Rattus norvegicus: one gene and its partners. The protein of the gene in region 4 interacts with the protein of the main gene of each other region in a biochemical or structural test. Links are inferred from orthologs where the notes say so. Each region holds a gene or a part of one and is shown on either strand. Other genes may lie near its edges.

Region 1 (4,103 bases), on a different chromosome or scaffold from region 4:
CTACCCCGACCGACCAGCTCTTACAGTCAAGCATCTACTCCTCTCAAAGTGCAGTGGCCCCTTCTAAAGCTTACTGGCCACTCAGGCAGCAAAGGCTCGGTCTGTCTTCACCTCCCCCCCCCCCAAAAGCCCGCGCTTGTTCTTGGTGCCAACGAGGAAAAAAAATTTAATACATAAATCATTATCACATTAAGAAATCAGAAGAATGGAGCAAAACAACTAAAAAGATATATGATATAACCTATTTTTCTAAGAACTAATTTCTAAAATCAAGTTATAGTTCTCAAGAGCATCTTCACAGTGCCGTCCGAAAATACCCCAAAACATTACCTTTATCCTTAAAGCAAGGCACTCCCACAAACTCAGGTAGGTTGTGTCCCTTTCCAAGAACATAAAAGAATGGTGTTAAGTACACACTGTACTTTGGGTGCCCAGAGGGTTTAGGGTTTTTTGTTTGGATGTTTTGTTTGCAATGGCAAATGTTCTATGTAACAGCTGAAGCCCCATAAACAAGTAAAGCAGTCAGGTACTTAAAGTCAAATGTTAAGTAAAATTAGATTTTAAAGACAACCACTATTTTGTGAATTCTTAGAATATGAAAAATAGGTAATTTGCTTTTTGGAACACTTGGTAATATTACACAAGGATAAGGTGTTGTATATATCTTTAAAACACTGTGGCAAAAATAAAACAACCCCTGGCTCTTTCTGCAAGAACTTTCTATGAGGTGAGTAAGTTGACCTTTAAGATACTTTAACCACAGGGATGACAGAGTATGTGAAACCACCTCGCTCTAACAAGCATGCAGTGAAGGCTAATCTCTGTTCTGCTATACAGCAGAGACCAGGTGGGAGAAAAGCTATGTCCCACCTGTGACTGAGAAACTGTCAGCCAGGGGTGGCCACACCTCGAGAGGGACTTCTAGGTAAGATTCTCTCCTCCCAAAATGCCCTAGGCCCTTATACCACCCCCAAACCCCTAAGGTAGAGATGCCACAGTCCACACTGAGTCGCCTCAGTCTCTCCCTGCCACCTTTGGAAAGGTAAACAAACAACAATCTTAAACACCTAATTTATAGGTCTGCAATCCTCCTTCAAGGCAGGTGTCTTTGGCAATTCCCCAGTGAGCACCCCACTTAAGACTTCCACCAAATACTCACTCACAGCTCCCAGCCTTACCAGGTCGTGGGTAGCCCCAAGCTTTATGGGAAGAGAAATCACTCCACAACACTCATGCACAATTTGGTCACACACAACAGCGACTCGGCTTTCAATTAAAAGCATACCTCCCCAAGCCAGCCCAATTGTGGAAGCCCTTCTCTGAGCGCAAAAGTGTGGCCTCCCAGCCTGGAGGCACTGGCCCTTTAAAGGTTCTGGCTTCCTGTACACCCGGTCCCTCCCCTCCTCGCCTGCTCCCGCCCCGGCCAAGGGTCACACTTGAACTTTAGGTTGCCCAGAGCCTAAAAACCTTAGCCACCCACTTGCGCGCGCGTCAGAAACCGTACCCAGCAAGTGGGAACGCTCGATTCAGGCCACTTTGGATAAAAAAACCAAATTTGCCCCGGCCTCGGGGAACCTTCGGCAACTGCTGGCCCGCACAGCGCTCAGCACGCTGCGCGTTTAGCTAACCCATCAGCTGCGGGAGCCCCGCGTGTGCGTGGGGAATGTTTCCAGTGCTCCCGTCACCTCTGCTGTCGGGTCCGAGGGAACCTCGTCGGCCAAGGGTCGGGAGAGTGGGTGCGCATGTGGGCGGAGGAGTCGCCCCGACCCCTCGCAGGTCCGGAGTGTCAAGTGGCGAACCCTTCGAAGCCAGCCCCTCTACTCCAACAACTAGCCAACTTCCAAGCCTGCTCTGGCATTTCACTTAAGTTCTCAAACAAGCCCTCCCGGGGTCCCTCTAGAACTCCCTCGCCTGCACTTCGTCCAAATTTGGCTCCAGGTCTCGGGGAAGCCCCCGCCACACCTGCCATTTCTCGCCCGCTCTCTCCGTGCGCCCATCATTTCCGGGCCCGGAACACCCACACGGCCGACCCTCGGCGGGCCCCAACAAATCCACCCCCCCGGGCCGCCCCGAGGCCGTTCACCTTCCAGCCCGCCGAGCTGTTGCTGTCGCCCTTATCCTTGAAGTAGGGCACACTCTTCACCATCCACTCGTAGATCTGCGACAGGGTGAGCCTCTTCTCCGCCGAGCTCTCGATGGCCTTGGTGATGAGGTCGGCGTACGACAGGTTGCCCCACGCGTTGCGGCGCGACGAACTGGTCTTGCGCGGCTGCCCAGCGAGTGGCCCCGCGGCGGCTGGAGGCACCGGTGGGGGCTGCGACAGCGGCCCGGTCGGTGGGGGCTGCGGCGGCGCCGAGTGCACGCAGCCCGCCTCCGGGCCCTGGAAGTCCCCGCACAGGCCCCTACTGGCGGCAGCTGCGGCCGCCACGGCCACGCAACCCGGTGCCCGCGCGAAGTCCTCGCTCTCTTCTAGCAGGCTCAGGTTGCTCATAAAGTCGGTGCTGACAGCGGACGCCGAGGCCAGGCTCGCCGTGGCGTCGGGGTTGGCGGCCGTGCTGCCCGACGGCGCCGGGCTGGAGGTGGTCGAGTTGGACTGGTTAAACTCCGGCCTGGGCAGCGGCCAGGTGCAGGAGCGCTGCCGAGGCAGCGGCTCGAAGTCCGGGTCGGTCTCCACCACCTGAGGCGCTTCGGCCATGGTGCCCCCCGCCCCTCCCCCACCAGCAGAGAGTACCAGGAGACGCGGCCACCGGGGGCGCGGAGCCGGCGCTCGGAGTGTCGCTCCGAGATTGGGGGCCGCGGACGGCGGACGCACGCCGGAGCGAGGAGCGGCGCAGCGGACGGACGCGCCCAGAACTTAACTTCGCTGGGTCACCGGTGTCGGGGATCCTCCGAGTTCGTGCCTCGGACGGGGCAAGGACCAGGCCGCGGAGCCCGGCAGCTCGGGCACCACGCTCCTGATGACAGGGCCGCGGACGCAAGGGCAGACCGGCGGACGCCGCGGGCCGCTCTCTCTCCCCCGCGGCCGCGCGACAGCGGCGCTACTGCCTGTTGAATGTGGCGGCGGCGGGGACTGCAGCGACTCCGCAGCCTCCCGTCTTACGGGATCTGCAGCGGCTCCCCGCCCGCGGCGGCGCGCGCGCCGCCCCGCCCTTGACTGACAGGCTGCGCGACCAATGGACGCGCCAAGTCTCTGCCTAGACAACCAATGAACGCGGGCCTGGGAGGGAGCTCCTTTCCCTCGGGAGGCGGCAGTAGGTTGGTGGGGGGCAGCGGGGTGTTTTTCTTTCTCACACACTTTTTTTTTCTAATCTCCGTTATTATTTTCTGTAATTCTCAAGTGTTTCTGAGTCTCTGGCGCCTCAGTGTTCGGATTGCTAGGAGGCAAACCGGCGTGGAGGCGGCGACCATACTTTTGTTTACTACGGAGTGCAATCGAGTACTCCAGGCAGTGCCCAGACCCCGACTCCCGGGATGGCGCGGAGCCGCTGCGCGCTCCCGGACGCGACGTGGGCGGTGGGGCGCCTCGTGGATTCCACTCAGCCCGCTCCGCCCACGCGTCTTCGCGGAGCTCTCGGGAAGTCGGTGGGGTTTGTTTTGGAGAAATGTTTTCTTAAGCTGGCATCTGCCCGGGCCGCCCCAGGCACGAAGATCCTACGGTGAAGATCCGTCGCTCTGCGGCTCCGGATTCCCCTTCCCACCCTACCTGTGCACACCTGCAAGCCGAGCCTCCGCGGTTCTCCAGCCCCAGCCCCAGCCCCCAGCCTCCAGTCATCCTGAACCCAAAAGAGGTGCGGCGCGGGGAGAAGACTGTTGCACAAGCACCTAGATCCAGTAGCGCCTCAGATCTGAAGTCTTCTATGGAACCTCTTTCCTGTTACGAGAATCTCACTTTTTCCTGAGGACCAGAGTGGTGGCTAAAGGGTCAGAGGAGAGTGTTTAGAGACAATCTTGTCACTTTATTGCCCCTAATTAAATTTAACTGGTTGCTTACTTCTTTTTTATTGAGAATGGAAGCGATGAGGTGTTGAAGTCGCAAAAGGAGATAAGCCACAATTGTTGGGGCACAGCTCGTCTCTCCAGTTCTTTAAGTTCCCAAACCCGGG
Region 2 (3,500 bases), about 170 Mb from region 4:
AGGCCCTGGCCACCGGCCTCTGGCTAAACAAGGACTCCCTCCATCTCCGCCCGCCTCTCCAGGACTGCCTCCGTGCCTGCCAGGAACAGATTGAAGCCCTTCTGGAGTCAAGCCTGCGCCAGGCCCAGCAGAACATCGATCCCAAGGCCACCGAGGAGGAAGGGGAAGTGGAGGAAGAAGCTGGTCTGGCTTGCACACCCACCGACGTCCGAGATGTGGACATCTGAGGGCCACCGGGCAGGCGGGAGTCACCAAGTAGTGGCATCCGCGAAGAGAAAGGAGCCAGCCCGGGTGCTCCTGACGAGGTCCCCCTTGGGGATGTGTTGTTACCAGAAGGGGAAGTTTTGTTCTCTTTGTTGGTTGTTTTTCCTTAATCTTTCTCCTTTCTATCTGATTTAAGCAAAAGAGAAAAAAAATACCTGAAAGCTGTCTTAAAGAGAGAGAGAGAGATAGAATTCGCATCACCCTGAGTATAGGGAGACGGGGGGGTGCTACAAAAATAGAATTCTGTACCCCAGTAATCAACTAGTTTTCTATTAATGTGCTTGTCTGTTCTAAGAATAGGATTAACACACAGGAAGTCTTGAGAAGGATTTTTGATTCTTTTATGTGTTTAAGAAAAAAAAGCTTAAGAAACATTGCTTTAAAAAAAGAAGGAAAAAAAATACAGCAAACCATTGTTAAAGTAGAAGGGTTTTAGGTAGAGAAATGTACTCTGCTTTGCTGAAAAGGCACAGCTTTGGCAAGGTCCTCAACCTCACTCCCCTGCTTGTTCAGTGCCTACAGCCCTGTTACCTGATGATACCTGTGCTTTATCCCAGGAGTGGGCAGACCTCTTAACCTTACTGATGGTCGATTCGACCTCTAGCGGCCTCGTGGCGTGTGGCACCCTCCAGGGCTCATGTTATGGGCCCTCTGCCCCCCACAACCTGCAGGTTCACAGAGCGCCAGCCAGCCACGCAGCGGTAGGGATGAAATAGTGACATAATATATTCTATTTTTGTAACCTTCCTGTTTTGTAGTTCCTGTTTAGAGAGATGCTGGTTTTTGCCTGGTGGCCCTGCAGCCCACTCACATCAGGTTGAACCCACAGCTTTTCTTTTGTGTGTGGTTTGTTTTGTTATGTTTTCCTTCTCCATGTTCCAAAACCATTCCATTTCAAAGCACTTTTGGTCAGCTAGCTGGAGGCAGTGTTGCTGGGTGTGTGTGTGTGTGTGTGTGTGTGTGTGTGTGTGTGTGTGTGTGTCGGTGGGGGAGGGGGTCTAGTGGAATGGTTGGGGGATGTCCACACACTCAATTCTGATGGCTGCACAGCAGGTGTGTAGGGCTGGTAGCATGAGGTGCTTGGGAAGTTTTGTTGGGTCGAGAAGAGAAAGCTCTGTTCTCGTACCACCGGGATCTTCCTGCAAAGTCGGAGGGATCTTTTGGTGCCAGCTGGCGTTTGGAAGTAGGGACCGTGATGGCATTACCTGGACAAGGGGATTCAGGACGACTCTTAAGTCTTTCACACAGGAGGCTTTTAAACACTAAAATCTCTAATTTATACGTAAGGCTACAGAAGAGTATTTATTGGGAAGGTTGCCCATGACCCGTGTGACTCAAAGCAATGTGATCTTCCCTTGATTCAAACGCACACCTTCTGCCCTGCTGGCGAAGGTTTAGGGCCATGTCTGAGAGACTGGTCTTTTATTGGGCAAGTGGGGGTGTCCTCAAAAAAAAACAAACCACAAAGACGGAGATGTGGTCTCCTTGACTTTCCCAACCCAATTGGCCCCATTGGAGAGCCATCCAAACTGAGGAAAATTAGGGGACTCCAAAAGAGTCTTGAGTCTGGCACATTCTTGCCGCCGCTCCCAAGTTAGCAACAGTAGGTAATTTGCACACCTCTGGCTCTGCCTTTCTGTTCAGGATGTGTTGGTGGGAGGTGGAGAGCGGGTGGCTGGAGAGGGGATGTGAGAGAAGAAGTATGGAGGGTAGGGACCACACGGGACAGGCCGCGGCTCCTTTCACAGCGCTGCTACCAATGACTCCCAGGATCCCCGGCGTTCGGAACCAGATTCACGTTGCTTTGTATCTTTCATGTTGTTTTCGCTGCTATTGGAGGGTCAGTTTTATTTTGTTGTTGTTGGTTTGTTTGTTTTTTTTTTACAATGTCATAAACTGCCATGTTCAAGTTTTAATTTCCTCGTAGAAGAGTGTATTTACAGATGCCCTTTTTTGTACTTTTTTTTTTATTGTGATTCAATTTTGGATTAATGTGATTACCGCTGTATTCCCAAAAAAAAAAAAAAAACCACACACACACACACACACACACACACACACACACACACACACACACACACACACAAACAGGTTCCTGTACACAATACCTCATGTATCACCTAGCCATGCATAGGCCTGGCAGGCGGGTGGGGTGGTCTGCCTCCAGGGACCCTGGGACCCTGCTGGGGATCATCCTGTCATGCTGGGCCTTCATTTGATCTGGGACATAGCATCACAGCAGTCAGGGCAACTGTGTTCTGTTAGTTATCAATATTGTTACTTGTAGCGGCCTGTTGTGCATGCCACCATGCTGCTGGACCCGGAGAGATTTGTTCTGAGTCTCTGGTGCATCATTTAATCTGTTAGGTTCTAGTGTTCTGTCTTGTTTTGTGTTACTCACAGCATTGTGCTAATGTAAAGCCAGCCGCAATGCTGTAGGCCCCAGGTTCCCTAGCAAGCTGCCAAACCAAAAGGGTCACCACCAGCTTAGCTGAGGCGTCCCAACCAGGCAGGACCCTTGAGGGCTGCTGTGTCCATGGTGATGGGGTGAAGTTTTGGCCAAAGGGCCAAAGGCTGGTGGATCCACACAGTCTGCCCTGTGACATGAATGGCTTTGAGGGGCTCTGGCTGGTGGTCAGGTTGGCTTTGTGTATTCTGGTTGACACACCATGGCGCTTCCCAGCACAGACATGTGACCAGCATGGTCCAGGAAAAAAAAAAAGACAAAAAAATCTAGAAATAAAATTGGTAAAATCCCAGCTTGCTGTTGTGTATTTTCTTGGCCCTAAGGACAGGAGTCGGGGGTGGGGGGAGGTATGCCATCCTGATCCCAGAGCCATGTGGGATCCAGCCTGTCCTCTGCACCCAGGGTGTTTGGTAGCATCTCTGGCCCTGGCACCAACCTGGGACTCCCAAAGGGAAGGGTGTTCGCGGGTGGCAGCCAAGAGCAGAGTGAGAGCCACTGGCGTCAGGGAGACCAGTGGCGGCCACTGATCAGAAGCGGCTCTCAGCCTGTCGCTGCCAGCTCACCCTCTCGCTTATTTGCAGATGGAAGATCAACAGAGCCGGCGTTCACTGCCCCTCGTCTGGCGCAAATGGGTGTTTGCTCTGGGTGAATCACCGTTCCTAGGTGCTGCCAAGCGCCCAGAGAGCTAATGCTTAGTGTTAGGGCCAAGACCCAAGGTGGCCTTTCACACAGTCCCAGGAGACCTGAGTGACCTGGCTAGACTCCTGTG
Region 3 (3,977 bases), on a different chromosome or scaffold from region 4:
GCTCCAATCGGAGCGCACAACTCCTGCGCACACGTGCTCAAAACTGAGCAGCTCAGCCAATGAACACCAGGCACGCCCTGGACCTGGGGGCGGAAACCACAGACACTCCGGATTTAAAGGCGCAAGGTTACCTTGTAAACCCAAGGTGCGGGGGAAGTAGTGAGTGAATGACAATCGTCCAGGGCCTGCTCTAGTTTTACTTTGGGGGTGTTTTGTTGAAGAAGGGCCTCACACTAAAGCCATGACTGACATCGAATTCTCTGCAGTCGTGCCTTAGCCTCACATCTGACCTTGTGTGTACTTGTAGTGGGAGCCTCAGTGTGGAGAAAGCTGTCTGAGCTCACGGTCCCTTGATGGACCAGGCAGACAAAACTGCACCTAGCCCAAAGGCCCACATTCTGTCTTTCAAGTTTGCCCCTGCTAGAGTGACTGGTGGTCTCATTTCCTTTTGGCCCGCTTGGCACACACCGGGAAAAGAGCTCTGTTACCTGTTGTGCGAACTCTACCAGTCTCTTCCCTTCTGAAACACTGGGTGCCAGTCCCTGTACATCCATAGAACAGCTGTGTCTGTTTATTGGAAACCTACGATGTGCAGGCCAGGGCAAGATGGCCACTAACAGCTTAGCTGACGAGATATGCTGGTCTTCTAGAGCATGAAACAAGCCTATAAAGAGCACTGGCTAGAATCCTGAGGCCAAGGGAGAATTTTGAGGGTTTGTGCATCCTGCTCTCTGACACTCCTGAGTACTCACTTGGTTCTGACAATTTTGGGAAGCATGTTACACACGAGCAAAGTTGAGTCCAAAGATGAAGAGCTAGGCCCAAAGACCCGGAAGTCTCACCACCACCACGGGTCCCTCACGCAGAGACTGCCTGTGTCCCTGACGTTGGTACCGAAATCTCTCCGGGATCACGGCCAGCTCAGGGTCTACAGCAGCCCAAGCAACAATGCCTGGACCCGACCCTCCACGTTGCGACTGGAGACTGGAAGTGGTGATCGTCTCCAGCAGGACCCCCGCAGGCCTCTCCAGTCCCACAACTCGAGGCCTGAAGCTCTGGGAGTCGCCTAGCAGCACTTCCCGCAGAGGCCGCGGCCGGGAGGAGGCGCGCGCGGGTTAAAGGGGCGGGGCCGGCGCTGACCCAGCCCGCGGCTCCCGGCTACCCTGCGTCTTCCTAGCCCATAGGAGAGCTACGCCACCATGGAGGCCACCGGGGTGCTGCCGTTCGTGCGCGGCGTGGACCTCAGCGGCAACGACTTCAAGGTTAGATGGGGGGAAGGGAAGGGCGACCCCTAGTTCGTCTCTCCCGGCCGCTCCCTCTACGCTTCCGGCACCGGCGGGCGGGGCGGGCGGGCGGGCCTCGGTGAGTCTTCCCGGGCCTGCCCCGCCCGCGGCGGAAGACGTGGGCCGGGGCTCCGGGATCTGGGGCCGCGCGGGATTTGAGCCCACAGGCCGCGAACCTGACCCCATGCCACGGAGGGAATACGCCCTAGCCAGCCACCGCCCCACACTGCGGTCTCGAGACGTCACTTCTCCCTTAGCAAACCTGGGCTTCTCTCCTCCCCAAGGGGCTTAGGAACAGCCCGTTTGGAGGCGTATAAAGGAAAGAGATCTGTTAGTAAGGATTGTGACAGGTGCTTGAGGTCCTAGGCGGCACGTCTGCCAACTGCTAGATTGATGGGCTAGGGGGATAAGCAGCCAGCACCCTGGTTGACCATAAAGAGTCAGGCTATGGGCGTGGTGGTGCACGCCTTTAATTCCAGCCCTCCGGACGTAGAGGCAGGTGGATCTTTGATTTCGAGGTCAACCTGGTCTTCAAACCAAGTTCCAGGACACCCATATCTACATAGAAAAACCCTGTCTTGAAAGAAAAAAAAAGTGCCAGCTAGTCTCAGACCCGAAAACAGGAAAGCTGGACTCAAAGGACAGCTCAGAGGCCTGGACCTTCACTGCCTGGCGTCCGCCCCTTTTGATGTCAGATTGGGGGACGCAGGAGAAGGAGGTGGGCTCCTCCCGTGTTCACCTGCACAAGGACACGTTTGACCCTGTACACAGTTGTCACTTTACCCTGTCCACATTCTCACCATCCTTACCTTTGGTTTCTCTAGTCTCTCTCAATTGAGAACATCTGAGTCTCACTTTGGGGGCTGTGACTGGAGGAGGAGGAAACAGCAAAAGGCAGTTGAGCTTCATGCTGCTCAGATGTCAAAACTGCCAGGTGTAGCCACCAGGAGGTGGTGGCAAATGCTTTTAATCTCAACACTGTGGAGGCAGAGGCAGGCAGATCTCTGAGTTAAACCTGGTCTCAGAATGAGTTCTAAGACAACCAGGACTACACAGAGGAACCCTGTAATTGGAAATTGCAGGGAGGACAAAACCATAGCCTGGTGTGGTGGTACAGACCTTTAATTCCACAGCATTAGGAGGCAGAGGCAGGTGGATCTCTGTGAGTTTGAGGCAAGCCTGGTCTACAGAGTGAATTTCAGGACAGCCAAGGCTACACAGAGAGAAACCCTGTCTTGAAAAGCAAACAAAGGAAAAAGCCAAGGATGCTGAAGCGGACATTGCCTGTGAGGAACGAATGAATGCGAGAGATTGTGCGAGGAACAGTGGGGAGCTGGGCTCTTAGTGCAATCTGGGGAGTGTCAGGGGCAATATTATCTCAGACAGCCAAACTGCCTAGAACCCTGGGGGAAAACAACATGAGTGCCACTAAGTACAGTGGAGCACTGAGTAGCCCTTGAAACAGGCCAGGCTTGACCTCCCTGAGACAGACTCCAGCTGGAAAGACACGTTTGGGCCAGAACTTTTGTCTTTCCAGGGCTTTCATTTAGTGCCATTTTGTGAGTAAGGAATAAGAATAAATACAGGGCTGGAGAGATGGCTCAGTGGTTAAGAGCACTGACTGCTCTTCCAGAGTCCTGAGTTCAATTCCCAGCAACCACATGGTGGCTCACAGCCATCTGTAATGAGATCTGGTGCCCTCTTCTGGCCTGCAGACATACATGCAGGGAGAAAGCTGTATGATGTATGTATAATAAATAAATATTTTTTTAAAGAAAAAAGAAATAGAAATACAGAGTATTCCTCTGGGGACCACAGAAGGTAATGGGAGGGGAGCGCTCGTCTCCTAGACTGTACTCACCTTACTGTCCCCCACCAGGGCGGCTACTTCCCTGAGAATGTCAAGGCTATGACCAGCCTGCGATGGCTAAAGCTGAACCGCACAGGTCTCTGCTACCTGCCTGAAGAACTAGCAGCTCTGCAGAAGCTGGTGAGGGGCGGGGTAGGACGGGGCGGGTCCCCATCCTCAGGGCTAGGCCAGGTAGGCTTACCCTGCAGGAAAGAGGAGTCACTGGAGAGGAAACAGAAATAGCTGTGGGCAAAGCTAATGGAGTGGAGTGGGCACCCACCTGGGAGGTGTGCAAGGAGGGGACTCTTGGGGTGGCCTTCCAAGATGGTGCAGGGACAGGGGCAGTAGGCAGGGGCCGGTCATCTTAGGTCCCCACCTGAGCCTCTGACTCTTGTCCTGTCCAGGAGCACCTGTCTGTGAGCCACAACAATCTGACCACGCTTCATGGGGAACTGTCCAGCCTGCCTTCACTTCGGGTGAGTGTTGGCCAGGGCTGTGGTAGGGTCAGGCATGGGGCAGAGACGCTCTGCCCTCCTCACCTCTGCCTGTGTTGCTACAAGAGGGCTCCTTGTGTGCAGGAGCTCATGAATGGGAGAAATTTCTGAGAGAAAAGCGAGGACATTCCAAAGCCCACTACCTCCTCGGACAGTTGTGAACACGGCAATGTAAGGAGAACATGGTGCTAGGCCACGTTAGTGTGTCGTATGTGCCTTCTAACCTACCTCATAGGTAAAGACTCCTGGCCATGCAAAAGTCACCCCCCAGGCAGCAATGTAGCTATGTGACTGGGCCGGGGAGGTGGCCTGAAAATCAGACTCTAGCCAGCCTTACAGGCTTCAGTCAGG
Region 4 (3,500 bases):
CAGGGGCAGGGGCAGGGGCAGGGGCAGGGGCAGGGGCAGGGGCAGGGGCAGGGGCAGGGGCAGGGGCAGGGGCAGGGGCAGGGGCAGGGGCAGGGCCAGCACTGGCGCCAAGGGGACCTGCGCTGAGCCTCTTTTAACCTCGGGCTCTACTCTTTTTCCAGGTGGCTCATCCGCTGCTGAGCCCTCTGCGTGCGCGGGAAGCCAGTCTGTACCTCGGCGGCTGCCACTGACCATGACCATGACCCTTCACACCAAAGCCTCGGGAATGGCCTTGTTGCACCAGATCCAAGGGAACGAGCTGGAGCCCCTCAATCGCCCGCAGCTCAAGATGCCCATGGAGAGGGCTCTGGGCGAGGTGTACGTGGACAACAGCAAGCCCGCCGTGTTCAACTACCCCGAGGGCGCCGCCTACGAGTTCAACGCCGCCGCCGCCGCCGCGGCCGCCGGGGCCTCGGCTCCGGTCTATGGCCAGTCGAGCATCACTTACGGTCCGGGGTCCGAGGCGGCCGCCTTTGGTGCCAATAGTCTGGGGGCTTTCCCCCAGCTCAACAGCGTGTCGCCCAGTCCGCTGATGCTGCTGCACCCGCCGCCGCAGCTGTCGCCGTTCCTGCACCCGCATGGCCACCAGGTGCCCTACTACCTGGAGAACGAGCCCAGCGCCTACGCTGTACGCGACACCGGCCCTCCCGCCTTCTACAGGTACCTGCACCACTTCGGGGTAGCCGCTGTGTCCGGTCTGGCCTGGGGAGGGAGCGCACGAGGGGGTCATCGCGGGCTGCAGATCGCTCCCTCCCACCCTTCTGGGAAGTCAGGAAGGATTCTTTGCGGAGCCCGCCTTCTCTCTATTGGCGGCTTTAAAACAACAATAACAACAACCCCAACCACAACAATGTTCTCCTCCGTAGCTATCTTGTGGGAGAGTCAGACCCAAAAGGCCCCGTGTTCCCTAACTGTACAAGCATTGGAAAACAGTCTAAAGAAGTTATTTATGGGGCAAGCCAGCTAAAGCTAGCAAACCCCCAGGTCCAAGTGGTTTGTGCCACTAGCAAGGAACCCCTTTATTATTTAAAGCTGGAGGTGTTTGGGATTAGTGGGACTCAGGGAAGATTTAATAGTTTTTTTTTAATTTAATTGTTTCATGGTGTCGGGTTCAATGTTGTTTCTACTAGATAGAGTTTTGGACTGGCAACACTCAAGGTATACAGGAAAAGATAGGGTTTTAGGCAGAGGTGCCTACAGATCTTTTCCCCTCTCTTCCCCATTCCGGGGTTCTGGATTGAATTCTGGCCTCTCAGAAATGCTGGTACCGGAGTTGAATGGGTCTCAACAAGTTTTGATTTATGGTTGAGTTCGAGCAGATTGCTGGCATAGGTGTCCTATGTGTTTACAACATACCACATTGAGGCACCGGCACAGTAATCCCCTACAGCTGAGTTACTTGCCTGGCCCAGCAGGCAGAGAATGCGCTGGAGTGGCACTCAGGTTAGCTATGGCCCGCACCCCCCTCCCCCCGCCGGCACTGTGCCAGGGCAGTCCAGGACACAGGGGAATCCAGGACACACAGACTCTTCATGACCTAAGTGACAATTGTTTTGTGTCCTCAGTTTTTGTTTCTCCTAAGAGAAATTTTTTTGACACCCCTTCCCCGCTTTCCTCTCATTTCCATTTCTTTTCCTTAAGGGCCAGCAGAAGGCTTAGGTGGGTGGGTCTGGTAAACACCTGTTAGAGTTTCACGGGCCAGGTACAAGTCTTTGGGTGCTCACAGGCTGCTGAACCAGAACTAGCCCAGTGTAGGCAGGCTTTGGCCACTGGCTCAGTGTTCTCTTTCCAGATATATTTATAGTAGAAGAAATAGGACTAAGGTGCGGCTTGGCCCCAGAAGACACCAAAGGATGAAATCATGGTGTATCCCAGCTCACCTTTAGCCCACCCAGGAAACGAAAGGATCAGACAGCGAAGTGGGTCCAGGCCCAGATTTCAAACTCAAAATCAACAGTAAAGGAAACTTTAAAAAAAATTTTTTTTTTGTTCAAATTAATCTCAGTTGCTTTGATTCTGGGTTAAGTCGGAAGAGGCAAATGCTTTATTCTCTAGATCCCCAGCACCCCTCTCCCGCCCTGCAGGCTAAAGGAACAAACTACGGCGATTAAGTCTAATTCAGACTTTAAAATTTTCTTGCTGTTAAGGATGGTATTGGTAGAATGTGAGTTCCATAACCTTATGGTGGAGTTCCTAAAGTATTTTCTTTTCCATTTAATTTCAGTTCTTTTATTTTTGCAAATTAATGCCAGTGCATTTCAATGGGAACTAATGAGGCTGCTCCTTGGCGGGTTATTTACTGCCTTGCTAATAATTACAAAGTGAACACGGGAAAGAGATCACATTTTATTCAACACCGCTTAGCTTTTCTGCGGCAAAGACTCTTACCAGAATATACCCTATCTTAAACTTTTATTCCAAATGATATTCAGGTCCTTCCCCCAACCACCCCCCCCCACAAAAAACCAACAATGAAAAGAGATTCTTAAAATAAAACTTACACACAGGTGGAATCTGGGTAGAAGGATTTTCTCATTTGGCTTACTACTCAAGGTGAAAGGGATATATCCATGCCAGTAATGAGTGTTTTACGGCAGCTGCTGCTACTTCTTCTTCTTCTTCCTCCTCCTCCTCCTCCTCTTCATCCTCCTCATCCTCTTCCTCCTCTTCTTCCTCTTCCCCTTCTTCTTCTTCTTTTGAATAACCCCGGATTTTTAAAAAATTGAACAAGCTCTTAAAAGAAAAAAATCGAACAACTTTACTCTTCCTAAGTACTTCTCAATAGTTTGGGGGCTGAAAACTGTCTTTTAAAAATGTTTCTCACGATCCAGTAAATGACAAAGTCACTTTACCAAGTTTAAGTTTTAAAAATAGAACAAACCTTAAAAAATATTGTCTTAGAGTACATGGTATGCATGCAGTCAGGGCAGGTTCTAACTTTCGGAGTCTATGGATGCTAGACTGGTGAAGCCATGTTATACTGTGTGAGTCGAGGCCACAGAAGTTTGGAAGATACAGGCCTAAAATATATTTAGGAGAAAACAACACATTTAGGTAAGTCATTATAGTTTTATTTATATAAACAAAAAATCTAATTTGTCCATCTTCATTTTATTTTTTCCATATATGTTGCCTTGGTATCTGTGAGCAATTAAGAACTAAGACTTATTATTTCCAATGGTGGAATAGGGCTGCTTTGTGGGTTCTTCTCCTGTACATATCCCAGTGGGCAGCAGGGATGTTCAGGGAATTTGGGTGAAGCTTAATTTACTCAGTGTCTACATGCTGTGGCTACTTTTTCCGTTGGCTACAATGTGCAGCCATATGAGCAGATATAGCAGGTAAAATAGCTCGGGGCATGTAACTAAGTGAGAAACATTGTCACCTGTCGAGGTGCCTTGTTAATGGAGACACGATCTGTTCGTGATCAACAAGCTGTGGTTTTGTAAGCTGTGTTTTAC
Region 5 (3,500 bases), on a different chromosome or scaffold from region 4:
CCAAGGATATCAACCCAATATGGCATAAGAAATTGCAATAAGACTAGGCACAAACCCTCACTCCTATCAAGGCTGAACAAGACAACCCAGTAGGAGGAAAAGGATCTCAAATGCAGACAAAAGACTCAGAGACACCCTCATTCACTATTAGGAGTCCCACAAGAACAGCAAGCTACACAACCATAAAGTATATGCAAAGGTCCCAGCTCAGACCCATCTAGGGCACATGCTTGTTGCTTCAGTCTCTGTGAGCCCCTGCGAGTCCTTCATTGATTCCATGGTTAGTGTTCTCATGGTGTCTTTGACCCGTTGGCTTCTACAATCCTCCCGGTTTTCTTCAGAGTTCCCCTGGCCTCACCTAGTGTTTGGCTCGTCTAGCTTTTTTGGCCAAGACTCCTGAGTGCGTGTCACTCCACTGTAGAAAACTTGATTTTCTTTCTCCCAGCAGCTATCAAGTACAATAGCTTCTTAGCTAGAGGTTAGATTTCACGTTGACCTCCTCTCCTCCCTTGCTAGGGCTTTGTCTGGCTTGACCTTTCCTAGGACTTGTGCACATTGTCACAGTCTCTGTGGGATGTTAGTCCCCTGCCCTGTTATGCCTGAAGTCATCCACTGTCTTTGGCTCTTAGGATATGTCCCTTCTTTCACATAGATCCCTGAGCCATGAGGGGAAGGATGTGTTATAAACATCCCAACCAGGGTTGAACACACTTCTTATTCTCCGTCTTTTTGCTGTATGTTTGCCAGTCGCGGGTGTGTCTGTTAATGGCTATCTCCTACAGAAAGAAGCTTCTGTGGTGAGAGTTGAGCAATGCACTTATCTGTGGGTGTAGCAATAAGTCATTAGGAGTCATTTTATTACTATGTCCATTTAAGAGTATAATAGTAACAGGTTTTCCCCTAGGGTCCTATCTAGCCACAGGTTCTTGGGCTCATTCATGGTGTCAGGTCCAGGCTCCATCTCATAGAGCAGGTCTGAAATCCAATCAAAGAGAGAATATCAGTGGTTCTGTATTGAGGTCATAAAAGTACCTGTAATAACAGCATAGTTAATCTTACTTAGTCTGCGTGAGAAGACTAAGTAAAATCTTTAGGGAGAATCAAGGAAGTAGAAATTTGAGAATCTGTGATTACCAATATGTAAATGATTAACTAGGCAAGTGACTAGACATCATACTTTCTAAATCCAAACGCATGTTTTCCAGTAGTTTTTCTAGGTGAAATTTGCCTAAAAATGATTTTTTTACTTAAAGGCTTTTTCGGTATGAAAATGCTTCAATTGTACAACTCAGCAGTTTTAGTATATTTTTGCATGAATGTTACAGATTTCTTTGTATTTTTGGTGGTATTATTATCTGACACTTATTTCATAATTGTGCTAGTGAGAAAAGCTGGCTCGCAGTGTAGTGGAGGGGTTTATTGGGAAACTCTTCGTGTTTCGTGGGTAGAGCAACCCTTGAGCAGATGTTTTAATGTAATAGATACTTTTGCTCTGTGTTTTCTAAAGGCTTTTCTTTGTGTTTCAGAGTAAAGCCCGTCCCTGCTGAAGGAATTAAGTCGAACCCTTCTAAACGACACAGAGACCGGCTGAACACAGAGTTAGACCGCCTGGCTAGCCTGCTGCCCTTCCCACAAGATGTTATTAGTAAGCTGGACAAACTCTCCGTTCTAAGGCTCAGCGTCAGCTACCTGAGGGCCAAGAGCTTCTTTGATGGTATGTCGGCACGGTTGACTTTTATAGCAGTAACTCACAGTATGCTAATGTCAAATATGGTCCTTAATATTGGTGACAATAAAAAACTGTCCATGAGCGCAAACGTCTTTCTTGTCTTAGAAAATAATGGAGTGACAAAGCTAAATGTATAACTGTTATTAACTCTCTCTCCTGTCTCATTCACCAGACAAATAGAGCCATTTGGATGATACATAGTAACATTCTTTATAAGTCATGTGTTTAAAAGTTATACTCAGGTTTCATTTTTAAAAAGAAATCATAAAGTACTGTGATTGGGGGTGGGGCTGGCTCAGTGGACAAGAGAGGATTTGGTGTGTAAACATGAAGAGCTGAGTTCATATCTCCAGTGCCCACTTAACGCGTTGCCTGGCTTGACTCTAACGGTAGCACTGTGGGAAATAGAGACAGGGCTCTGGGCCTGCTGGCTGCCAGCTTTGTGGGTTCAGTGGGAATGAGGCAGGATGATAGGGATGGACACACAAAACCTTACTCTGTCTCTCTCTGACACACACACACACACACACACACACACACACTTCTCTGACATACATATATACTGTCCTTCTCCCTCTTCTTCCCCTTCTCTGTCTCTTTCTCACATACACATACATACACTTCCTCTCCCTCTGTCACGCACGCACATACACATACACCTGCTCTTTCTTTGACATTCCTCCCGCCCCCCTGTGCTCTTACCGTCTCTCCCTCCTCTCCCCTGTCTCCTGTCTCCTCTCCCCTCTCTCTCTGACACACACGAATTAACACCCGCCCGCCCACGCTGCCTCATAGGAGTAGTAATGTATTGTTCCTGTACTTTCTGTATGGAATTCATGGAGTCTTTCAAAGTTATACGGACTGCTACAGCTTTATGTTAATGTATGTTAGCATCAAGGAAATGTGGTTAAAATGGTTTATGATCAGAAAGAACACTTGAATATGGTTGGACAGTGTTGGATTTCATTCTGCACAGTGCCACCGTGTGACTTTAGTCGTGCCGGGGAGCACCCTGTGCTTCAGCTGTGAACGCACTGAGGGTGGCTGTGGGGCTGTGTGGCCGAGTGCTGCTTATTACATATGAATTTCCAGCATCGATCACTACGGAATCTCTAAAACGGAGTTCCTATTTGAAATTACTGTTCTGACATATTTTGTCATACAAAATAACTCCTTAATTATCTCTTACATGAGTTCTGGGGATTTGAACTAAAGACATCCTCCTTAAATAACAAGGAATCTTCCTCGCTAAGCCATTTCCCAAGTGCCTTATTTTTTTTTCTTTTTAAGTCCATAAATCAAAAGTTAATTATTAAGGATCGTATTCCTTCACAAATTGTAGCAAATGGATTAATGCCAAGATCTCAAACTGCTGTGCACCTAGGCATCATGGTGAGATGCAGAAGTTCCCCCTTCTGCAGACTCAGATGATGCTAATGGTAGCATCCGAGTCACCAGGCAGCCCCTGCTCATCTCTGTGTCTTAGAGGACTGTGTAGAAAGTCATTCCTCTTGGATTTATGTTTGTATGAGTTGATGTGTTTGAGTTGAGCATGGTTGTATATTTTCTTGCCACGTGTAATTTTTAACAATAGCATTCTGTCAGGGCACACAGACACCTAGAACCGTGATTTCATGTGGTGTGCAGTGTACATGAAATCTCACAGCAGTGATTTAATTTAGTTCGTAGTGTGCACTGACTCCTAAAGCCGTCATTCCGTGTGGTTTAGGATGTACACTGAGTTCTACAGTAGTAATTCCGTGTGGTGTAT
Region 6 (3,500 bases), on a different chromosome or scaffold from region 4:
CATCCACATTCTTTTCTTAAAATTCTGTGTACTCGCCTGTGTGCGTGCGTACGTGTGTGTGTGTGAGTGCGTGAGTGCGTGTGTGTACATGTACATACATTTGCCACAGTATGTGTACTGAGGCCAGAGTGTTCTCTCTACCATGAAGGCTCCAGGGATCCAACTCAGGCTGTCAGCCAATACCCACTGAGCTATCTTGCCAGCCTTTACCTAACGCTTTTAAAATCAAAGGCAGGCAGCTAGCTATGTGTGTCTGATTCAGTTAGGAGACTCCACAGACGTGTTCCTACCAGACTCAAGAGCATAGGACGGTTTGATAGCCTCGCTGTTCTGGGACCAGGAGGGTTCTATACCAAGTTCTCCGAGCAGGGAGGTGTTTTCCTGAAGGGCATCTCTATACCCACCAGATAGGGCAGTGTGTTAGGATAAGAGGTGAACAGTCATGCGCGGGTCTCGTTTAATCTTGTGAACGTGAATTCCTGAATTCCGCTGCGAGGTATTCTGAGATTCCTTCAGTCAAGGTATGAGGAGCAAACACAGGTACCTGTGTCTCGTCGGTGGCGGTGTAATCTGCAATGGCTACGAACTCCTCGGGCTGCAGCTGCAGCTGCAACTGTGCCCCGTCCTGAAGGAGCTGCATCTCACAGCCATAGTCCACAGGGTCTTCCTCCTACCACCGCCAGGGACAGACAGAAAGACAACACTGTGAGCGCCTCTCTCTCTCTCTCTCTCTCTCTCTCTGAGCTTTGTTGTCCGTGTACGCGCCTCTCTCTCTCTCTCTCTCTCTCTCTCTCTCTCTCTGAGCTTTGTTGTCCGTGTACACATCTCTCTCTCTCTCTCTGAGCTTTGTTGTCCGTGTACGCGCCTCTCTCTCTCTCTCTCTCTCTCTCTCTCTCTCTCTCTCTCTGAGCTTTGTTGTCCGTGTACACATCTCTCTCTCTCTCTCTGAGCTTTGTTGTCCGTGTACGCGCCTCTGCCTCTCTCTCTCTCTCTCTCTCTGAGCTTTGTTGTCCGTGTACACATCTCTCTCTCTCTCTCTGAGCTTTGTTGTCCGTGTACGCGCCTCTGCCTCTCTCTCTCTCCCTCTCTCTCTCTCTCTCTCTCTCTGAGCTTTGTTGTCCGTGTACGCGCCTCTCTCTCTCTCTCTCTCTCTCTCTCTCTCTCTCTCTGAGCTTTGTTGTCCGTGTACACATCTCTCTCTCTCTCTCTGAGCTTTGTTGTCCGTGTACGTGCCCCTCTCTCTCTCTCTCTCTCTCTCTGAGCTTTGTTGTCCGTGTACACATCTCTCTCTCTCTCTCTGAGCTTTGTTGTCCGTGTACGTGCCTCTCTCTCTCTCTCTCTCTCTCTCTCTCTCTCTCTCTCTCTGAGCTTTGTTGTCCGTGTACACCGTGTACACATCTCTCTCTCTCTCTCTGAGCTTTGTTGTCCGTGTACGCGCCTCTGCCTCTCTCTCTCTCTCTCTCTCTCTCTCTCTCTCTCTCTCTCTCTCTCTGAGCTTTGTTGTCCGTGTACACATCTCTCTCTCTCTGAGCTTTGTTGTCCGTGTACGTGCCTCTCTCTCTCTCTCTCTCTCTCTCTCTCTCTCTCTCTCTCTCTCTCTCTCTCTCGATTGCTTCAGACATTCAAATGAGAAAGTATTTGTTATTCAAACAATCTGAACCACCGAGCGTTCTCACCTTTGGTCTACCTCTGTATCTCCGAGACAGGGTGACTTAGAGAAAATGTCTACGGGAGCAGGAAGAAGTGGGTGCTGGCCCTCAGCTTTATCAGCTTGCTTCCCAAGAGTGACACTCAACTAGTGACAGAGATACCACAGCTTGTCGGACTCCAGGGGTCTCTTCAGACCTAAGGCACCAGGCAGATAGAGCAAGAGCCTACGGAAGGTGCTGGAAACTGCTATAATCCTCCACCCTACTGCAAACAGAGCTCAAGCAGCCTGGCTGAGACTTTGCGAGTCTATGGCCTGTGCCCTATAGCCACCGTCTATCAGAGTAAACACGCCTTAAAGACATACTGGGGGTGGAAGTGACGGCTGGGTGATTAAGCGAGTCCTGGCTGTTCTCCCAGAGGATTCAAGTTCAATCCACTTGGCACCCACAATCATCTGAAACTCCAGTCCCAAGAGGTCTGACACCTTCTAGCCTCTGCAGGGACTGCACACAAACATGCACACATACAAGCAAAACATACACATAAAATAAAAAAATGAAAGATTTTTTAAAAACCAGTGACTTCAATACAACCAACAAAATCAAAACTACCTGAGAGATAATGTGTATCTTCTTCACGATACCTTAAACAAGGACACTAAAACCAGCAAACCATGCTTCCTTAGGACCCGAATGGTTATGGCCTTTAAATTTTACCACATTAACGCATTTCTGCCAACCCTAACTATAAGCAGTGTGGGGGCCTCGTAGCGCCACCTGCGTAATGCAGCTCAAGTCTTTTTTTAACACCACTTAATTTTTAAACTGCTTAGTCTCTAAACTTTCTTGGAAGTTACATGCTTTAAACAATGTAACCTCAAAAGCCCAGATGTACACATCTCCCCTCTCAAAACCTACTCTCCCTAAATGTGCTTAGAAAATGCACTAACTTGGGTTCGCTCTGACTCATCCAACCATTCTTTTCCTCGTTAGTCAAGAGTCTAGCTTTGCCTGAGTGGATGTACAGCCTGGAGAACAAAAACATCACATTTCCAGGCTAAGGAGATGGCTCAGCGGTTAAGAGCACGGGCTGCTCTTTCAGAGGTCCTGAGTTCAATTCCCAGCCACCACGTGGTATGTCACAACCGCCTGTAACTCCAGTTCCAGGGGATCTGACATATCTTCACATAGATATATACGCAGGCAAACACCAATGCACAGAAGTATTAAAGGAAAAAATTTCTGGTACCTGTGTAGTATTCCAGTCTATGAATTATCTGAGCTTACTTATCCAATCTCCTTTGTTGGAATATACACACTACTCCCAGCTTCTCCTGTTATCAATTATTAATTTCCTTGAACGCCAATCATCTTGCATGCACCTGAGAAGTTCCTGCGGATAAATTCTTAAAGTGTAAAGTTGGTCAAGGCTACCTTTCTCTTCTTGTCTGAGGGCGTTGTTTTGAGACAAGGGTCCGCTGTGTAGTTCTGGCTGGCCTAAAACACACTGTGTAGACCGGGCTGACCTCAAGTGCCAGCCTTCCCCTCCAAAGTGACAGGATTAGATGTGAGGACCACCACACTCTGCCCAAGACCATCACTTCTATGGCTTTTATTACAACGCTAAGGGCCCCCAGGACTGCACTAGGACTCAGTGAGATGGAGACTTGACCCACTGACCGTAAGTACAAAGGAGGCGTGTCCCTCGTTAACAGCAGGCGCTGATCCCTTCCTCTGTGCCCATCTGAAGGGTGCCAATTACTGTCCTGCATTTCCACTTGCCTGCCTTAGTGTGGCCATTCAGGATTCTCTGAGCATGTATCGGGCCTGTTTTAATTGCTAAGAGCCCAT
Region 7 (4,234 bases), on a different chromosome or scaffold from region 4:
GAATGTAGTAATGCCATGGAGCCAAGGATTCCATCAGAGACGGCTGAGCACACCTAACCGGAAGTTGATGAGAATCCGAGAGACCCTCGACCGTACTTGGGATATCTTCCTGGTCCGTGTATAGCAAGTCTTTGGCAGCAGGCCATACAGTATGTGTCTACAGTTCACAGGTTTACAATAGGCTTCAGCAGCTGCCTAGCAGCACTTTTTAAAAAGGAAACTTGATAATTAAAGATTTATAGAACAATCTAGGAAATCAACATGGAAGGCACAATAGCAGTTATGAAAATTGAACACCATCTATAAATGTAAGTGAATTTTGTGGGGTTTTTATTGTATTATACTCACAGCAAATGCAAATTGTTTTCCACTATGTAGGCTGACAGAGGGCTGAGCAAAGAGAACATGCAGCCTTCTGGTTTGTAAAAGAAGAGGATCATATTTAATAACCATGAAAAAATCAATACATCCCCTAAGTGTAAATCAAACTGTGGGGCCTTTGGATATTTCCCCTTGCAATTTCCTGTTTGAAGTTGGTCTGCTTGATTCTCTTTGATATTGTTCTTAAAGATGCATTCAATCTATGAACTCCTCAGGGTGTACCATCTACTAGGAGACAACCTGATTCATGAGAAATACAGAGTTTGCCAATAGGAGGGGAAAGAAAGCCATTAGCCCTGGCTCTCTGTCCCTCTTATATTAGGGTATGCCAGACTCAGACAGTAGAGTGTATCAAACCTGTATAGAGAGAAATTCCAGAGATGTAAACCCAGTTCAGTCTCCCTCTCTGATTCAATTCACCTGAGCACAGAACTGTTGAGAAACTATGTTAAGCACCATAAAGGAAAACCAGATACACCAGACATCCTTTTCCCCACCAGGAGCCTGGAGCACAGTAGGAAAGATCAAAGCAACACAAAAATGATGCAACCCAGATAGGATGTGGCCAATGGTCAAGAGAGAGTCCAGAACACAAGGAGACATTATCACTGGGGTAGGACCTGGGGAAAGTTTCACTCCAGGCATTTAAACGAGATTTTGACAGAAAAGTTTCAGGCACACAGAAATGGAGGAAATAGTGATGTCAGGAAGAAGGACCATGAGGCATTAAAGAGCAAAACTGCACATGCAACTCTGCAGAGACATATGAGATTTCCGTGAGTCATCGCCTGAGGAGAGAAGATGATAGCAAGGGTACAGAAACAGTGATGATTTTTAGATTCCATCTATCTAATGGAAAATGAGAAGAGGGCCACAGAAAGGTTCGATGAGATCTGGGAGAATATATCCAATGAGGAACAGAGCCGACTTTTTTTTTTTCACCATGCCTCAGCATGTCGTCTCTGCCTGTCATTCTTTGATGAAGCAAGTATCCTAGTTTCCATTCTTTAATGCCCTGGTGGGAGACTCCAGGCCTCAGTTGGGGTATCTACCCAACCTGTACAGCTGTCAGCAACAAGCAGTTCACTTTAAACCATTGATAGAATGACCCTCTTGAAGAGCCCCTTGATGCGTCTGGCCAGTGGGATTTGGTACGGGCCAAAGTCTGTCTTTAGCAGTGTTAGCCAGATTTCAGGTACTATTAACCGCTATCTATGATAGTCCACTGAGAAAGGGGAAGGTGTTCTTTATCTCGCAGGTTGCACATTTCAGCCCATGGGTTTTTCAGGTTCTGGGTTGAAGTAGGAAGCCATGATGGGGGATGTTGAACTGAGCCAAGTAGTTCTGCTCATTGATGCCAGGAAGCAAGAGAGAGAACAAAGGGCTTAGTGTCCCCTTTGCAGAGATGCCCTAATGACTTCTTTTTATAGGCTGCATCTTTAAAGGTCCCATCCAGTCCAATAGCAGCAGGAGCTGGGGTCCAAGCCTCAATATCAGTCATTGGAAGATATCCTATCCATACTGTTGCAAATGGTGATGTTGTAGCATGCCTCAGAGGAACAAGAAATGCCACAGTGACATGCTCATCCTGTAGGGTTGTCCAAGGAAGCTGTTCATCAAATAAAGCTTATTACTAAGGAGATGTTATCTAGACCCGATCAAACTGTAGGAAGTTATGAACTTTCAGAAACTAAACTACAAACATGTGCTGCGGAGTTTGAATTTTTTAGGTGGCGGGGGAGGAACAGGGGTTAAGACAGGGTTTCTCTGTGTAGCCCTGATTGTCCTGCGTTGCTCTGTAGACCAGGCTGGCCTATAACTTACAGAGACCCACCTGCCTCTGCCTCCCAGGCGCTAGGATTGAAGGCATGTGACACCATGCCCAGATGGAGTTTGAATTTTAGTAGAATATTGTCAAGGAGAAGCAACTTAAGTATTCCCAGTAGAGATGGCCGAATGGATGTACTTCACACATTATCTCTGTGGGCAGATATTGTGACAGGAAATATATTCTTTGAAAGATTGCTTACATCGATCATAATGATTAGCTAATAGTAATCATTAGGAGTGCAGAACAGCGCTTGGCACGGCGATACATGCTTGGAATCCAGCACTCTAGAGGCAGAAGCATTCTGTACAGAACGTTTGAGAGTCTGAGGCTAGGTTTGGATACACAGGGCCCTCTAAAATAAGTAAGTAAATAATAAATAAATAAACAAGTAAATAAAATTTTATAAATAGGAAGAGGGCCAGTAAGAAGCTCAGAAGGTATGAGTGGGTACTTGCAACACAAGTTTAGCAATGTGAGTTTGATCCCTAGAACCCACACTGGCTGCAAAGTTATCCCCTCCCCCACCCTTGTCACTCATGCTCACACTCATCCATAAACATACAATAATAACAAATTTTTTTCTAAAAATTAAAGGAATAGAAAACGTTTGAAACCCATATGACATTATAGATCAAAGATATTCCTTTGAGATTTTTCCATGATTCATGGGAAGGGCTGTGCATGGTGTGGGGTGGGACAAACACGGTAGCTAGCCGGTAGGTTGCAGTTTGGGGCCTGTCATATTTCAGATCAGTATATTCCCGTGTTGTACTACACTCTGTTGTCGACCTAGTTGGCAACCTGTACACTTGAGAATTGAATTCTCCCTTCAGAATGCTGCTCATATATTCAGCGAATCTGTTTGCAATATTTATCACAAGTTAGGAGCCTGGTCCTTGTACCCGACTGACTGGGTTTAGATCTGACAGCATGACCCTGGAAAAGGTACTGACCTTCCTGCCCCTGACCTCCCTCATCTTTAAAGCAGCCTTGCTAATAATACCCAACTCACAGAAGTGTCAAAAGGACTAAAGGGGCTCATATGTATAAAATGCCTAATATGTAGGGGAAAGTGCCCAGCCACTCACAATTATGTGTTAATTCCCCTACCCCCACACCCAGAACACGTGTACTTTATCTGTTCTAGGGGATTCTATCCTGCCAAGTGAAAAGGTAGGATCTTCATCTTGGGAAATATTAAACACGAGAGTGAGACAGGGAGGGGAGGGACGGGAACAGGGACGGGCACACACACACACACACACACACACACACACAGGCAGAGAGAGAGAGAGAGAGAGAGAGAGAGAGAGAGAGAGAGAGAGAGAGAGAGGGAGGGAGGGAGGGAGAGAGAGAGGCATCTAGAATTTTACTCATTGTATGCACTAATCTCCTTAAATTCACATCCCAGAGATGAAAGGATTACTGTAAAGCAGGATCAATACTTGGTTCATTTCACATCCCAGAACTTTCTTTAGAAACCAGGAAAGCCTGAGGCTGCAGAGGAAGCATCAGCAAAATTTAAATTATTTTGTACGTCTTAAGCTTCAAGAGTTATTGTGTTCTCCTCCAGGGATCGCGCCTCTCCCTGTGTCATTTCACTTTTCCCTTAACATTCTCAATTTCTCTTTATTTCCAAGTCGGAGTGCTCACGGTCGCCATTCTTCTGATGTGGATACAAGCACTTCAGCAAAAATAGCTGCCTGAAGACGTTGAACGATTCCATTCACTTTAATACACTGTGACTAATTGGGGGAAAACGGCAAGCAGCACGTGAGGATTCTGCGTGTGCATTGGAGCCACTCGTTGGCACGGTGGCAGCATACATTAAATGGAATTTTAAAATACTGGGTAATGAGGAGAAAAAGTCCGTTTGCTTGGTGGAATTCTCTATGGACACAGCGTAGGGAAGGAGCGGGGGAGTTTGTAGCCATTATTTCTAAACTGCATGACACCAGCCATTTCTGAATCTACTTCCTTATTAAGGAAAACGATTAGAGTCAGAAAGGAACACATAGCTTT

Evidence for each region.
Region 1: the proteins of Esr1 (region 4) and Foxo1 form a complex in vitro, tested with the Homo sapiens proteins (2 studies listed by BioGRID). The link is inferred for Rattus norvegicus from reciprocal best matches to the Homo sapiens genes ESR1 and FOXO1.
Region 2: the proteins of Esr1 (region 4) and Ccnd1 form a complex in vitro, tested with the Homo sapiens proteins (2 studies listed by BioGRID). The link is inferred for Rattus norvegicus from reciprocal best matches to the Homo sapiens genes ESR1 and CCND1.
Region 3: the proteins of Esr1 (region 4) and Flii form a complex in vitro, tested with the Homo sapiens proteins (2 studies listed by BioGRID). The link is inferred for Rattus norvegicus from reciprocal best matches to the Homo sapiens genes ESR1 and FLII.
Region 5: the proteins of Esr1 (region 4) and Ahr form a complex in vitro, tested with the Homo sapiens proteins (4 studies listed by BioGRID, with this or other methods). The link is inferred for Rattus norvegicus from reciprocal best matches to the Homo sapiens genes ESR1 and AHR.
Region 6: the proteins of Esr1 (region 4) and Prmt2 form a complex in vitro, tested with the Homo sapiens proteins (2 studies listed by BioGRID and IntAct). The link is inferred for Rattus norvegicus from reciprocal best matches to the Homo sapiens genes ESR1 and PRMT2.
Region 7: the proteins of Esr1 (region 4) and Grip1 form a complex in vitro, tested with the Homo sapiens proteins (2 studies listed by BioGRID and IntAct). The link is inferred for Rattus norvegicus from reciprocal best matches to the Homo sapiens genes ESR1 and GRIP1.

What each region holds. Positions count from the first base shown.
Region 1 is NC_086020.1:138,461,671-138,465,773, reverse strand, and holds the start of Foxo1 (forkhead box protein O1), read right to left. Parts: upstream 2,801-4,103; 5' UTR 2,696-2,800; coding exon 2,084-2,695; intron 1-2,083. UniProt on the Homo sapiens protein: Transcription factor that is the main target of insulin signaling and regulates metabolic homeostasis in response to oxidative stress.
Region 2 is NC_086019.1:209,517,811-209,521,310, reverse strand, and holds the end of Ccnd1 (G1/S-specific cyclin-D1), read left to right. Parts: coding exon of another isoform or gene 1-62; coding exon 63-227; 3' UTR 228-3,023; downstream 3,024-3,500. UniProt on the Homo sapiens protein: Regulatory component of the cyclin D1-CDK4 (DC) complex that phosphorylates and inhibits members of the retinoblastoma (RB) protein family including RB1 and regulates the cell-cycle during G(1)/S transition.
Region 3 is NC_086028.1:45,904,692-45,908,668, reverse strand, and holds the start of Flii (protein flightless-1 homolog), read left to right. Parts: upstream 1-1,177; 5' UTR 1,178-1,199; coding exon 1,200-1,262; intron 1,263-3,162; coding exon 3,163-3,273; intron 3,274-3,536; coding exon 3,537-3,608; intron 3,609-3,977. UniProt on the Homo sapiens protein: Is a regulator of actin polymerization, required for proper myofibril organization and regulation of the length of sarcomeric thin filaments. It also plays a role in the assembly of cardiomyocyte cell adhesion complexes.
Region 4 is NC_086019.1:43,644,190-43,647,689, forward strand, and holds part of Esr1 (estrogen receptor), read left to right. Parts: intron 1-161; coding exon 162-699; intron 700-2,547; exon of another isoform or gene 2,548-2,772; intron 2,773-3,500.
Region 5 is NC_086024.1:57,988,902-57,992,401, reverse strand, and holds part of Ahr (aryl hydrocarbon receptor), read left to right. Parts: intron 1-1,526; coding exon 1,527-1,714; intron 1,715-3,500. UniProt on the Homo sapiens protein: Ligand-activated transcription factor that enables cells to adapt to changing conditions by sensing compounds from the environment, diet, microbiome and cellular metabolism, and which plays important roles in development, immunity and cancer.
Region 6 is NC_086038.1:12,400,815-12,404,314, reverse strand, and holds part of Prmt2 (protein arginine N-methyltransferase 2), read right to left. Parts: intron 671-3,500; coding exon 545-670; intron 1-544. UniProt on the Homo sapiens protein: Arginine methyltransferase that methylates the guanidino nitrogens of arginyl residues in proteins such as STAT3, FBL, histone H4. Acts as a coactivator (with NCOA2) of the androgen receptor (AR)-mediated transactivation.
Region 7 is NC_086025.1:57,224,451-57,228,684, reverse strand, and holds the start of Grip1 (glutamate receptor-interacting protein 1), read right to left. Parts: upstream 2,801-4,234; 5' UTR 1-2,800. UniProt on the Homo sapiens protein: May play a role as a localized scaffold for the assembly of a multiprotein signaling complex and as mediator of the trafficking of its binding partners at specific subcellular location in neurons.